Arabidopsis thaliana: one gene and its partners. The protein of the gene in region 3 purifies or fractionates together with the protein of the main gene of each other region. This does not show direct contact. Each region holds a gene or a part of one and is shown on either strand. Other genes may lie near its edges.

Evidence for each region.
Region 1: the proteins of AT5G40270 (region 3) and AT5G51280 fractionate together in Arabidopsis thaliana (co-fractionation; one large-scale study listed by BioGRID). This does not show direct contact.
Region 2: the proteins of AT5G40270 (region 3) and AT4G33370 fractionate together in Arabidopsis thaliana (co-fractionation; one large-scale study listed by BioGRID). This does not show direct contact.

The regions. Positions count from the first base shown.
Region 1 is NC_003076.8:20,839,450-20,844,526, reverse strand, and holds AT5G51280 (DEAD-box protein abstrakt), read right to left. Parts: upstream 3,289-5,077; 5' UTR 3,072-3,288; coding exon 2,161-3,071; intron 1,747-2,160; coding exon 882-1,746; 3' UTR 535-881; downstream 1-534. Other genes in the region: ACD5 (Diacylglycerol kinase family protein), read left to right, coding at 1-63, 138-275.
Region 2 is NC_003075.7:16,069,169-16,073,155, forward strand, and holds AT4G33370 (DEA(D/H)-box RNA helicase family protein), read right to left. Parts: upstream 2,238-3,987; coding exon 2,148-2,237; intron 2,040-2,147; coding exon 501-2,039; downstream 1-500. Other genes in the region: FLDH (NAD(P)-binding Rossmann-fold superfamily protein), read right to left, coding at 1-206; AT4G33380 (dimethylallyl, adenosine tRNA methylthiotransferase), read left to right, coding at 2,896-3,061, 3,152-3,240, 3,313-3,451.
Region 3 is NC_003076.8:16,092,409-16,098,979, forward strand, and holds AT5G40270 (HD domain-containing metal-dependent phosphohydrolase family protein), read right to left. Parts: upstream 4,836-6,571; 5' UTR 4,686-4,835; coding exon 4,560-4,685; intron 4,055-4,559; coding exon 4,017-4,054; intron 3,928-4,016; coding exon 3,905-3,927; intron 3,672-3,904; coding exon 3,565-3,671; intron 3,481-3,564; coding exon 3,429-3,480; intron 3,355-3,428; coding exon 3,270-3,354; intron 3,138-3,269; coding exon 3,047-3,137; intron 2,888-3,046; coding exon 2,849-2,887; intron 2,757-2,848; coding exon 2,689-2,756; intron 2,569-2,688; coding exon 2,506-2,568; intron 2,435-2,505; coding exon 2,379-2,434; intron 2,307-2,378; coding exon 2,233-2,306; intron 2,153-2,232; coding exon 2,060-2,152; intron 1,983-2,059; coding exon 1,881-1,982; intron 1,781-1,880; coding exon 1,700-1,780; intron 1,615-1,699; coding exon 1,523-1,614; coding exon of another isoform or gene 1,519-1,522; exon of another isoform or gene 1,430-1,518; coding exon 1,414-1,429; intron 1,306-1,413; coding exon 1,195-1,305; intron 1,091-1,194; coding exon 986-1,090; and 2 more.

The DNA of each region.
Region 1 (5,077 bases), 4.7 Mb from region 3:
CTAACCGAGCTTGCAAAAAGAGGTGGAGAACCTTTGAACTTCGAGTTTGTGGAATATCACAAGGTTTGTAAAACATTTTCCTTTTCTAATCTTCTTAACTTGGTTGGGTCCTGATCAAAATATATTTGGTAATGCAGACGCGAGCTTTCACGTTTACATCATTTGGGGAAGAGAGTGTGTGGAATTTGGACGGAGAGATCTTTGAGGCTCACCAATTATCAGCCCAAGTATTGCGTGGCCTTATACCTCTGTTCGCATCTGGTCCAGAGATATAACAACATGCATGTGAATGTGGTTTTATATGAAGCTTTTGTGCATAGTTAGTGACCCAAGTGAAAAAGCCAAATGAGACTGGAAACTAGAAAAGTCTTATAGTGAACATGACAATGTTGCCAAAAAAAGAACATGGCAAACATATTATAGTATCCAAAAATTCGAGATGTAACCATTGGAGATTGGAGATGATATTACTCTTTCTCATTGTAAACATCATTATGATGTAATTAATAGTCTATACCTTTTTCCCCATAAAAAAAAAACGTTACCTTTCAGCGCTGATATGAAAATGTATCTTCAATACAACCCAACGGTGTAAAGGGGCACTTGTAACAATAACAACAGAAAGAAGAGACACCAAAATGAACAACTAAACTCAAAAGCAACCTTAGGGATACAATTCGAAAGACCTTGCACCTTACCGCATGCACATTGTGTACAAAATTTAGTTCAAGAATCCGACCATATATATTAACTAAGAAATATTTTGACATGATAGAACTCGACTCAGTGTAAAAAGCGTGACATATGGAAGATAAACATCACAAACATCACAGTTCGGTAACAGCTAAGATGAGATAACTAGCAAAGGGAACAAAACAAGATTATATTTCTCCTCTGTAGCCACCCGAGCCAAAATAATCTTTTCTTGAGTTAGAAATGGCGACACTCTTCTGGTGCTCAAGTTTTGGACAGTCTCGGATACGATGTCCAAGACCACCACAATAGGCACAACCCTTGACACCACTTGCATTAGCAATGGTCTCTGCTTCTTCCATTGGATCATTCAGCTCAGCAAGGACAGGTGGAATCCTCTGTTTAGCTTCTTGCAACAAGTGTTTCAAATCCAGCAGAGTGGTTTCGCTTTGATTCTTGTTTATAAACGTCGTTGCTATCCCAGTTTTACCACACCGACCTGTTCGTCCTATCCTATGCACATAGTTCTCAATCTCTGCTGGCATGTCGTAGTTGATTACGTGTTGTATATCAGGGAAATCTAGACCCTTTGAAGCAACATCAGTCGCAACCAACACATCTTTTTTCCCAGCTTTAAACGAAGAGATTGCGTACTCTCTGTCTTCTTGATCTTTTCCTCCATGGATGGCCACTGCTTCCACTCCTTTCAGTAACAAGTACTCGTGAATATCATCAACATCAGCTTTGTTCTCACAGAATATCAAAACCGGCGGAGAGGTTTTCTGTAGACACTCGAGGAGGTAAACAATCTTTGCTTCTTGTTTGACGTATTCTACCTCCTGGATCACATCCAGATTCGCAGCTCCAGCTCTTCCTACATTAACTGTCACAGGTTTCACCAGAGCACTTCTGGCAAAGATTTGAATCTTTGTGGGCATTGTGGCAGAGAACAATAGTGTTTGACGTTGAGACTTAAAGTGGTCAAAGACTTCCCTTATGTCATCTTCGAAACCCAAATCAACCAACCTATCTGCCTCATCTAGTGTCAGGTACCTAAAAAAAGGAAAAAAAGGAAGGTAAACATCATTGCCATCTAACATTCTCAAGATTTTGAAATTAAATGACACAGTCTCAAGACTCCAAAGACAAGAAAGATGCATTCAGAAAGAAACACCAGTGCGGAAAATTTATTCAGAGAGAAAAAATCCGATAGAATCACACAATAAAGAACATATATAGCAATGAAGCGCTAAGTAGCTAACAGACACTAGACAATCCTATTGATCTATCCCGTTAACCAGAAACAACAAAACAGGCACAATAAGCAGATATCCCCAAGAATCTAGCCAAGTGCAAAACTCAGAAAACGAGGATATAAGATCAAACAAGGCAGCCAAGACAGTAGACGCAAACATATATTACAATCAGGTTGATTAATCATATTGAAAAGAACCAAAGAAATCATACCTGCAAGCATCTAAGCTCATCTTTTTCTTGGCGAGCATATCCTTTAACCTCCCAGGGGTTGCAACAACAATATGGACACCTCTCTTGACAACCTCCAACTGGGATCTCATATCAATACCTCCAATACATAGCAACGACCTCAATGGCGGGTACCCAGCCTCAACCAAAGGAGCCACAAACTGCTCAACCACTTCATAAGTCTGCCTAGCAAGCTCTCTAGAAGGGCAAACAATAAGCCCAATGGGACCTTCACCAGCAGCAATAGGCATCATCATCTCTTCTTGGAGAGCAATCATGATCATGGGAAGCACGAAAACCAAAGTCTTTCCGGAACCAGTGAAAGCAATCCCAATCATATCTCTCCCAGCCAAAATCACAGGAAGACCCTGAACTTGAATAGGAGTAGGCTGCACAATACCTTTCTCCTTGAGAGTATCGAGAACAGGTCTAGGAAACTTCATATCCTTAAAGTTCTTAATAGGAGGAGGAATATCATCACCATTAACAATAATATGCCATTGCTTCCTAATCAAATCTCTCTGCTTACTAGACATCTTCCTAATATGCAAAGGAGGTTTCCACCCAGTTAAGAGAGGCTCTGTATAAGTGATACCTTTGGCAAGTTCACGAACAGACATAAGCGTCTTCTTATCAGATAAATGCTCCATCATCTCTTTCTCTTGTAAGATGATTTGCTCAGTAGCACTAACTTCGGGTACATCTCGCTTGAGCTGAGTTGCTTGAACAAGTAAACTAGGTTTAGCTTCAGCGAGCTTTTCCTTGTCAGCTTCTTCTTCCAATTCCGAAGCTTTTCCCTTCCGCTGAAGTATCTTCTGCGCTGCAATCGCTCTCCGCTCCGCCACTGATACATACTCAATGTAACTATCAGCTTCTTCCATGATGGATTCCATATCGAGAATTCAGCAACTTCTTCTTCTATTCCCTTTTTCAAAAAAAAATCCCAGGAGAATCGAAGAACACGTATAGGAGGAATAGAAAACTCAAATCAACAAACCCTAGTAGAGAGAGAGCCTCAAATCAACAAGCTTTGCACATCTCTCGAATCAATCGCTAATAGCTTTCCTTTAAAGGGTCACTGACCGACCGAAGTTTTTCTGTAGGTCGTCGGAAATCGGGTTTAGACGGCGTGTAAATTTTGTTTATTGGGCCTATTATCTGTAAGTTAATGGGCTTTCAATAAAGATTTCAGTGACAAAAACAAAAAAAAAACAAATTCATCTCAAATCTCAACTTTTTTTTATCCTTGATCTATTGTGTTCATCTATCATTTAACTTGGTTGTTTACGATAACAAAATTTTGTTCTGTTTTTCGATTTTTTGAATGATTTTCAGATGTATTAAAATTGCTAATATATTGTTAAGTTCTTCACATTACGTAACACGATTTAAATAAAGAAAATGACATGATACATCTTTTGTGAGTTACACTATATATGACATGTGATATAACATAACAACACATTTCATTAGACAATGTATTCGTAGACTCGTAGTTACACAAACAGAACAACTAAAATTAAACAAGGTGACATAGTGACATGTACCAAAACAGAAAATACATAGCCGATATTGTCCCGGTCATGGTTCGCATCTAACCATGATGATATTGACTAAGAAAAGAAAAAGAAATTCAAAGTCCGACCTGAATTCAAAAGAAAATAAACCTGACTCAAATGAATTAACCATTAATTTTACCCAAAAATAATATCAATTCCAAAAACAAGTTCAAGTAAGAAGGAGGAGTTGGGGTCGAAGTTCTATATCATGTTGATTATATATTGTTGCTTTTTGGTGCATGACATCATGCAATATTTAAATGTATTTATCTATATATTTTCTTATTTGGGATATAACCATATAATGAATCATACTTGATGGTTTGTTTAAAAAGAATCATACGACTTGATGTACCTAAGAAAAAGATTCATAACATGGGTTTGTGAAGCTGAGCAACGTTGACATTGCATATGTATCTCTCTTTCCCTCTTTTATGTCTAAGTGCATTTTCTCGTTCATTCATATAAACTTATATTAATATGCCACTTTCATAGTATATTAGTTAGAATTCATTGGATTGTGTTGTTGACAAAAATTGGATTGGTTAAAAACTTAAAAGAGAAAGAAAAAGATAGACACACATTGTCACATACCTATATTATAGGGATCGGGAGACAAAAAGACGTGATGGCAAGATAGATCATGCGAGCAACCAAGGGAGGAAAACCCCATTAAAATATAGATCATTATATGTATTTTATGATATTTTTGTAATATGTAGAATTCATTCGTAAACTAACCGCAAAAACCAAATGAAATTGGAATTACATATATAATAAAAAATAAAAGTAAAAGAAATTGGAATTACATCATATGTCTAGTTACAAGATGAAAAATTCATCTTAAAACATAAGGAAAGTTTTATAAAAAAATACTCATTTCTTCAAGCAAAATACTCAAATTTTAAAAATCTGAAGTCCCCTATTTAAATAGAAGAATTATTTTAGATAAATGTTTTTTCCATATATATTCAAAGTATTAAGAATAATAAATGAATATTAGATTTAATTATCACGAAATTTTGTTATTCTCTGTAACAGTTTCATCTGTATTCCTAGATGATATATTATAGAATATATATAGTATATATGTGAATTGGGATATATAGATCTCTATCATGAACGTGATCCATGATTTCATATGGTCTCCGACTCTCCATTCAATATTCTCATTTGAAGTGCCATGCAGAGGGATTATATATACATGGCAGAACTATGTGAGATTTAAGAAGAATACGCATTTTGTTACTTTACAGTTTTACACTATGTAACATGGACTACAAAAATATTTAAAAACGTTAAATCCTCAAGATATCATATAAAGTGACTAACATCATGTG
Region 2 (3,987 bases), on a different chromosome or scaffold from region 3:
AGAGAACGGTAATCCGTTACGTCTCCATAGGCGAGCTCAACTTCTGGAGGTAAGTCAGAGAGATCGCTGGTGCGGCGGACCAATGCACGTACGGAGTGGCCACGACGGAGGAGAACGTGGCAGAGTCGTGCGCCTAAGTAACCAGTAGAGCCGGTGACTAATATTTTCATATTTTCTGTTTCTGTGTTGGGCATCTTTGGGCCCATCGTTGCTTTTCTAAGCCAAGAAACCTCTAATTGGTTGAGAGGGTTTAATTAATTAATATTTAATACAAACATCATTGTCTGAAAGCTGGATCAACCAATAGCAAGATTCTTTTGTGTTTTGTTTTGTCACATACTACAGATAACAAAGAACTAGTAAGTTTCTCATTTGAGTGAAACAAAATTTCAAATTACAGACAGATCCACGAAAATACAAGATGACATAATGAGTAAAGAAATCTCAATTCGGTGATAGCTAGTTCGAAACAAGATTAGAGCACGAACCTTGAAACAAGATTACACCTCTCCTCTGTATCCATCAGAGCCAAAATGGTCTTTCCTAGAACTAGATATAGCTACACTCTTCTGATGTTCAAATTTTGGACACTGTAGAATCCGATGCCCGAGACCACCACAATAAGCACAACCCTTGACACCGCTTGCATTAGCAATGGTTTCTGTTTCTTCCATTGGACCATTAAGCTCAGCAAGGACAGGTGGAATCCTCTGTTTAGCTTCTTGCAACAAGTGTTTCAAATCGAGCAGCGTGATTTCGCTTTGGTTCTTGTTTATAAACGTAGTTGCTATCCCAGTTTTCCCACAGCGACCTGTTCTTCCTATCCTATGCACGTAGTTCTCAATCTCCCCAGGCATGTCGTAGTTGATTACATGTTGTATATCAGGGAAATCTAAACCCTTTGAAGCAACATCGGTCGCGACCAAAACGTCTTTTTTCCCAGCTTTGAACAAAGATATTGCGTAATCTCTGTCTTCTTGATCTTTTCCTCCATGGATAGCCACTGCTTCCACTCCTTTCAGTAACAAGTACTCGTGAATATCATCAACATCAGCTTTGTTCTCACAGAATATTAAAACCGGTGGAGTGGTTTTCTGCAGACACTCCAGAAGGTAAACAATCTTTGCTTCTTGCTTGACGTATTCAACCTCCTGTATGACATCGAGATTCGCAGCTCCAGCTCTTCCTACATTAACAGTTACAGGTTTCACCAGAGCACTTGTGGCAAAGATTTGGATTTTTGCAGGCATTGTGGCAGAAAACAAAAGTGTTTGACGCTGAGACTTAAAGTGGTCAAAGACATGTCTTATGTCATCTTCGAAACCCAAATCAACCAACCTATCTGCTTCATCCAGTGTCAACAACCTGCAAGCATCTAAGCTCATCTTTTTCTTGGCGAGGATATCCTTCAACCTTCCAGGAGTAGCAACAACGATGTGAACACCTTTCTTAACAACGTCCAACTGTGATCTCATATCCACTCCTCCAATGCATAGCAACGACCTCAACCGCGGGTATCCATCCTCGACTAAAGATGCCACAAACTGTTCAACCACATCGTAAGTCTGCTTAGCAAGCTCTCTAGACGGACAAATAACAAGCGCAATGGGACCTTCTCCAGCAGCTATAGGCATCATTATCTCCTCCTGCAGAGCTAATATGATCATAGGAAGCACGAAAACCAACGTCTTTCCGGAACCAGTGAACGCAATCCCAATCATATCTCTGCCAGACAAAACAACAGGAAGACCCTGAACTTGGATAGGAGTAGGGTGCATTATTCCTTTATCCTTGAGCATACGGAGAAGTGGACTCGGAAATTTCATATCCATGAAGTTTTTGATTGGAGGAGGAATATCTTCACCGTTAACTGTAATATGCCATTGCTTCCTAATCAAATCCATCTGTTTGGTTGACATCTTCCTAACGTGCAGAGGGGGTTTCCACCATGTTGAGAGAGGCTCTGTATAAGTGATACCTCTGGCTAATTCACCAACAGACATAAGCTTCTTCTTGTCAGATAAATGCTCCATCATCCCCTTCTCTTGTAAAATAATGGCCTCGGTAGCACTGACTTAAGGTACATGTCGCTTGAGCTGAGTTGCTTGAACAAGTAAGCTAGGTTTAGCTTCTTCAGTGAGCTTTACCTTGCCAGGTTCTTCCACCACCTTTCGCTTCATCTGCGCTAGACGCTCCTCTACTGGAACATACTCCACGTAACCATCATCTACTTCCATGATTCAAAATCCACTCGCCAACTTTTTCAAAGATCGAATCCAAACCCTAATCAGCAGATCTCTCGACTTTCAAGGAAGATCACGCAGATAGATATGACCGACACGGAGTTTTGGTTAAACCGGGGTTGGGGAATGATCGGGTGTGTTGTGTTTTCTGATTATAAGCAAAGAAAAGAAAAGCTACAAGAAGAGAGTCTCAATTAGAATTCGTATGTTGACAAGGAGCTAGGTAAAAGGTAGTTTTTCAAAAATTTAATTTCCATTTTTTTCATATATTGGATTGAAAAATGGCAATGACATGAATCATAGGATTATCACCACATTTAAAGATGTAGTATTTACATAACAATTGCAAGAAATAATACTACAAAACTTCCTATCTAGTATAGACGCTGCCAAAGAAATACATACGACGTTTTTATCCACACGCATTGATGAGATTGGTATATATCTCTGTCTCTGTCGAGTGAAAAATAAATTAATAGAGTAATAATTAAAAGCTCTCTCTCTCTATCTCCCACGATTTCCTTTTTCCGCCGGAAGAAGAAGCAAAAAAAAAAGAAATCGAATCTCTCTTTCAAGTGTTCGATTTAAAGCAAAAGTGTAATTATAATCGGAAGCGAGATCTTGAGAAATGGTGGGATGACGGCGGAGGGAGATGGCGAGGGGAGGAGGAGAATGGACCGGAGGGATCGCCGGAACCGGAGTTCTCTCTTTCAAAAGAATCACTCTACTTGTTTGCTTTTTCAACATTCTCATTGCTCTCTTTGTTCTTCGCTTTCTCTATGCTTCTTCTCTCCACATCTATTCCAATAACGATAATGGTTCCTACTTTTTATTTTCCTTTTCATTTTTGCTCTCTGATTCATGATAATTCGTATCTGAAGCAGCTCTGTTGGTTTTTTGTTATTCAGTTGTTAAGTACACAGCTGATGAGATTAGGAAAATGGAGGAATCTATTCGGATTCGAAGATCGAAGGAACCTACTCTGATTCTTCAATTGGTTAGTGGCTTTTTAAAATGGAACTCGAAGATGCACATTGGCTCTTCTCACAATGTTTGATTTCCTTGTTAGGTGAAGAAGCTCAAGCATGAGGTTTCCACTGCAGAATCTAGTACTGAACTATCTCCTAATGTTAAACACAAACTAGTTGATGAGATCCTCCAGCGTTTGAAAAGCTTTGAGGACAAATCTAATGTTACTCAGCTTAGAGGTTTGTGCTACTCTACTATGCCCATTAGCTTCATGACATTTATTTTTCAAACTGCCACAAACTTGCATTTCATGACTTTTCCTGATCTAGCTGCTTAGGATTTGTCTTATTACCTCTTTGGAATGTCATGGTGATTTGTCTTATTACCTAACCTGTGTAAGATTTTGTTGGTATCAATAGCTCAGTTTAGTAAATATTTCATTATCATTCATGTAGAAGTGGATTTTTGCTCAATAATGCATATGGTTATCAGGATAGTAAAATAGGCTCACAAATTTCAGACCTTTCTGCATGCACTATCACATACTAGACAGAACAATTGATTTTAGCGGGATTTTCAATGGAGATTTTTTCATGCCTAGTTTTTCTATTCTTCTTGTATAAGTTCATCAGGTCTATGGAACATAAGCTCTAACACCCACTTAAGTTCTGTTATAATCTATGCATTGATGATCATATGCTATGTACATGAAACATTTGAGCCACAGAAACTCTAGCGGTGGTGCCATTGTATACATAATCTTTTCGATGTTCTT
Region 3 (6,571 bases):
CATGAAAATAAAAATACAAAACTTCTTCATGAAGGGATTGTTCATCAAACATCTTGACCAAACGGAAAGGGTTAAAGGAAAACATCATCATATTTTGAATGTGACACATGCTATGATGTTTCAAAGAGCATTTGACAACGGAACTTTTGGGCGAATGTATTCTTAAGGGAAACTTATTTGATAAATCGTACACCGTGAGTGACATTACATAACTTACATTAGGAGAAAACTTCATATTCTTTGGAGAAACACTAAAGTATACCGTGATACATGTGTTTGGATGTCTTACGTTAGCACAGTCAAAAGCGACAAGAGAATAAGTTTGCTAGATATATTTTTTTCGTGCGTTATCTATCTCTATGCAAAGAAGGGGTGCACTTTTGTTTGATCTTGACACTAGAGAGCAATTTGCTTCTCGAGATGTCACAATCATTAATGACCACTTTTCTTTTCTCAACCAAAAGGTAAAATCGAATGTATTTACATCTGATATGTTGTCGAGTATATTGTTGCAACTAATGAGATAGGTGAATGGCATATAGACTGAGTAAAAAGCATATGTTAATAATGTAGATGCAGGCGAGTATACACGATTAAGTAAAAAGCATATGTTAATAATGTAGATGCATTTCTCAAAGTTGGTTTAGGTTAAAATCTATTTTGTTGCTTTTTTAGAGTAAAATAATATCCTATGAAAAAATGTCAAAAGTAGCTACTGCCTTCAATGTGAAAACAAAATAAGCCACACAATCTGCGAAGCTGTGCTTAAAAAAAGACTTAAGATAAAACCGTACGAAATCCGAAATCTTAAGAAATGGTGCCTTGCTTTTCCTTTTCTTACGTATAAACACGCTGTCTGAATCCAAGGCTTCGATATCGTAAGACTAAGGCATGCTATATGTACACGCATCCATATCTAAAGTTTCAAGACCTTAAAAACCAAAATAAAACCGTTTGAAATGAAATGAATTAAGGCCACGTGTAATTACATCACACGCCTTTTCTTTTTCTCAGGTGTTGCGTGTACTTGAGCTTTGATTCCATACGTTCTCATTTGGAAGTTTTCAAATGCCTCAGAAACTGCTTCTACCTGTTGATCAATTTTGCAAACCAAAAATAAAAACGTTACTTCGTGTGCATCACTAGAAACCATAATGTATTAAAGATTAATGAGGGTTAATAATAATCACTTACCAATTCTGGTTTTTTGGCATATACTCTCACTATCATGTCTTGATATGTTGTTGGTAACAAGTGACTGACTCTGTCCTCAGGTATCACAAACTTCTCTGCACTATCATAATCCTGTAAACACCATATAAATCAATTTATTGAGATTCTGTGTTATTTTCCTCTTTACACATTTACAGAAGCAAATCTCAAAAACAAGACCAAAGACTTTTCTGTATGTACCTTATAGAAGTTGATGCTGAAGGAGCCAGATCCAACACAAAGGTAAGTTGGTTAGAATTTTAATGAGGGAAACTGAGAAAACAAAGAAGCTAAACTGTACTTTTTTTACCATTCAAGCGGATTTTCTCTCCCACGAGCCAAGTCAATCTTGACGTTTGTAACAGCTATATCTTCTTCTTTTAGTGTCAAGCTTGTGTGCTTCTGTTAAATCAGAAAGCAATATAAGTATGGTAATGGACTGTACAATATACTTTTCCTCTATTTAAGTGCTAAAGATTGTACAAACCTGAGAACAGATGATATCTTGAGGAGTGACAGCTTTGAAATGATCGATTTTGTCCTTTGGAACCGCATATTCGTTACAGAACTGAAAGTCAAAATTCATACAGGTCAATCTTCTGAAGGGAAATTCTTAACCTAATTAAGCATAAAAGAAAAAGAAGAAACTGGGTGAAAATTTTATATACTTGGTACAACTGCCTTCTGCGAACACGGAGTATCAGCTCTTTCGCTTCTGCAAGTTCTGGATCTGGAGCTATTTCGATAGTTTTGAGGATTGTGTCGTCTAACTGCATTTGTTTATGGAGAACAAAAACTATGTAAACAAGCAGAAAGGTAATATTTGTCTTCTGAGGAAGAACTGTACCTTCCAGTATTCAGATGGGTCATTAATCATAGAAGAAATTTCCAAATGATTGTTGGCTTTGACCATGGCATCTACTATCATCAGCTCTATCGCCTGCAAATGAATGGAACGAGACAAGTGGGAAAGAGAGAAAGAATAGTCAAGGTACAGAGAGAATGATAATGGTATAATACCTTTACTTTCGAATGCGTGTAGACGGTTCGATAAAGATCAGCTCGAGTTGCAAATAACTTGTGGACACTAAGATCTGAAAAATTAACCGGGTTTAAAATGGGATAGAAGCAAACGCAAATAGAGAATTTAGGTGGGCAAAACTTACACTCCTTGGCGCGGAAGCAGATTTCATTGTCCAGGACTCTCATCGTCTCTGTCAGTCTAGAAAGTTCTAATAATTAGCAATTTCCTTATTAGAAACCAGTGAAATGACTATAGAATAGAATGAAGACCTTTGGAATTGAAAATTGGATCCCAGTCCACAAGCTCGAGAATCACGGACAAGGTAGTCAAACCTATAAATATTTGCAGACATTAAAAGTTGATGTTGTAAGATAAAGGTTCAAATTTACGCACCATGATGAGTGAAAAGGGAAAGAAAGAAACTGCAGACAAGTATACAGGTAAAGAATTACTTGTCCACATCAATCCCATTTCGACCATTAGCAACAATATCATACAAGAAACGCTTCTCTGCATTGCCCTGCAAATTATGAAAAAGGGAAAATATATACAAAGCTTAAGTAGTTGTTCATGTTTGATTAGAATAGAGAACATACTTGTTATAAAACTTACTTTCAGCTGTGAAAATTCAGTACTAGCTAGTATCATGTCCTGGTCAGTTAACATTAGAGAAAATCATCAGCAAAGAGACAAAGGAAGCAATAAATATTAAATTGGATTTGTAAAGACTGGAAATAATGTCACAATTTCCAGTTTCAAATAATAGAGGCCATTTGAGGGAAGCAAAACAGTCTTAAGAAAGAAAGTTACCTTCACTCTTTTCAGCATTTGAGCATCAATATCGATGTGATGTGTATCAACCATATGGTCAATCATGTTTACAGACATTAACTCATGAGACCTGCATCGAAGAATTGGCATATAAAGAGCTAGAGATAATCCATAGAAGCCAACTACTAAAAGTTAAGGCATAGTTCTTATAATATCAAGTAACACCATGGCATTGATCTTTTCAAGGAATGTGCAAACATACCACTGACAGTCACTTATGACCTTTGGAAGGAATTCACGCTCAAACATATGACTGAAAGGCCCATGGCCAATATCATGGAGAAGTCCTACACATACAAACAGATCAGAAATTGTATCAAGGAATAATGTAGTCATTGAGCTAATAATAGTTACCACTTACCAGCAAGTCTCACAGTCTGAAGATCATAATTGTCAATACCAAGCTCCATTCCCTATAGAAAGTTAAGCACGTACATTACAAACCTTACCATACTTAAATCAAAATGTGACTGCACCACTGAAATCCAAATTAAAACCTGGAAATTTTTTAGCCTCTGAGCAGTTTCGCCTGCAAGCCAATACACGCCTAGAGAGTGCTCAAATCTCGAATGTACAGCTCCTGGATATACCATGTTTGTCACTCCTGAACCATTAAAGAAAAACTCCTCTCAACGAAAGAAGATACACAACTCAAGACTCATTTCTGTTAAAACTAGAAACCTTAACGAAGAATCTCCTTAAAGTTTTCAAGGAAAATTTCCTATATTTGACAATAAATACATGTTTATCGATGGGGGGAAAATAGACATAACAAGACTGTCTTCTTCGTTAAACAAGAGGAGAGGCAACTTGAGTTGAAAACGCAAGCCAACTCACCAAGTTGCTTTAGTTCACGAAGCCTGAAACAAGGAATTAGAATAATGAATCAGAACACTGTGGTTTTAGCAAGTCATTCATTGAAGGAAACAAGCACAATCCAAGACTTTACCTCTGAAACTGCTCAGTGTCAATGAATTTTAAACAAAGCTGCAAACCAAAAAGTGAACTATTAGTACAGATGCCATGTTGAGTCAATAGTAAACTACATTTGGGAACTATTAGTAATGAGATTCCATAGACATATGAACGTAGGCACTCTAGTGGTTTAGAGAATATGAAAACTCTTGTTTACACAGAAAATACGAAACAATTTTAGCAAAAGCCATTAACACCAGTAAATTTTTGCAGTTGGTTCATCAAATTAGTCTCCGACTCAAAACTCAACCATACATTTCATAATTTTCCGGTAAACAGCAATCTCTAATCCATCCGTGACTCGATAGTTCAATTAAATTCCGACGAAATCACGGCGATGAATGTAAGATAAACGAAGATAGTATCCAGATTCCAACTAGAACAAACGGCACCGGAATTTCAACAGAAATCTCCATAGAAACAGTTCTAGAGCGTCGCTCCTTATCTCTCGCAAACGAACCATTAGGAATCACAGAAACAGGAAACGAAGATGATTATAAGGAAATCAACCACTTACAGGATCGAGATAGATGTTTCCATGAACGTTATCGTAGACATGCTTGCTGAACCGGAGCTCGTTCGCCGGAGCGCCGGAGGAGAACACCGGTAAACTACTTAGGTTTTCGTCGCAATACGCTCCCATCAGTTGAAATTTCACGTCGAACTCACTCACTCGCCGCCGTGAAGCAGTTACGTTGAGAGAAACTGAAATGGGTACAACGACGAGAATTGAGAAAGCGATTTTAAAAGCTGCAGAGAGAGAGAGAGAGAGTAATGATCTTTATTAAATTCCTTTTTGACGTTTTTATGCGATTAATATTCCACTAAACCTTAAATGAAAGGAAAAGTTTCGAATAGATCCCTGTACTTTGCTAATATTCCAATAAATGTGCATATATTTAAAATTACTTAGATTAAAACCTCAACTTCTATTCCGAGTATTTTTTGGCAAATATAATGACAGCAAACTGAATTATCACGGATGTGGCATATGCTCATGCATTTTGACTTGATTCTAGTTAGAAGATAATTTATGATTATCATGTGAGATTAATTTTATTTAATATTAACCTTTTCTGATTATCATGTGAAAAACCATTTTTGTTAAATTATTGGATTTGAATTCCATTAACAATAGATTTATACAATTTTATTTTTTTGATTCTAACAAAATAATGATTTAGATAGTTTTGATATAATATCTTTTTTTTTTTAATCGCAATTGTTCATTTCTTTGCATAAAGTAAAATCTAATTTTTAAAAAGAAGCAACTTTTGATAACCAAAAAAAAAAAATTGACAACCAAACTTGCAATCATAAGACAAATCAGCATTTTTGTAAAAGTGTGAGCGTTTTGGCCAATATATTACATAACTTCTAGTTTGTTGTGCATATAGTTTTAGTAAAGGGGTTTCTTTGTATTAAATGGAAAATATAGGGCTATATCGCAAATTTCGTGTTTTAGGTAGAGGTTGTTTAGGTGGTGGACTGGTGGTGGAGAAGTGGGTTTATGGTGACGGTTCAGAAAATCCGGAGGATGATCATCGTATCTCAACCGATCAGTTACGGGATAAATTAATTTTGGTATCGTTAAAACAAATCGAACCGGCATTTACCAGAACCAAATTGGTATTTTATAAAAAGACCCATTTACGTGGACGCTCGAGCACGTAAGCCCAAAACCAGATTATTGTGTTTATGAATCCCTTCTTTCTCCTTCTAGGGAATCGATTTATTGCTGCTCTCAAATCTTCCCGGGAAAAACACCGGCGCTGTAATTTAATTGGTGTGGCTCCTGATCTCTTATCTAATGTTCTATACTTGGCTGTTGATTTTGAATATTGTTTTTGCTGCTCTTCTTTTAATGATACTTGGCTCTTCTTATCTAATAAAAATACTTTTTAAATTACTACTTTAATACCTTCCATCATTACTATAAACTACTCTTACCTTCTCTGCTTCGTTAGCAGAAGCAAACTCAACAAAGCCATCGCCCACATGCTCGCCCGTGTAGTCTACAATAAGTCGAACATGTACAACTTGTCCAACGTCTTTGAAGAAATTGATGCTGTAAAACAAAGGATAAATATTAGTCATGAAAAATTTGCTCCAGTAAAATGAAAGAGAAAATTATCGGTGCTACTTACATATCTGATATTTGAGCTTCCGGAGAGAGACGGGAAACAAAGAGCGTCTTTTTTCTTACAGCAACTGCCTGAATATAACAGCCAAGTGTGTTAGCTCGACTCTTTAAGGAGAAAGAAAGAACTAAAATTGCATAACAACAAAAGTAGATTCATCCCCCAAATAAGTCATCTTTCGACTTTGTGGCAACAGTTCTGTTATTAAATATCTAAGCCTGACATATTTTGAAGATAATAAGAACAGGTACCTCAACAAAATTGGGAGTTTCATCAAGTCCTTCCACTGCTGTCTCATCTTATTCTATCACAAGGTTTTGTCGTCGAAGGTAGTCTTCGTAACTGAAACATCAAAAATTCTAGTGATCTCATACCAAGAACTACACCC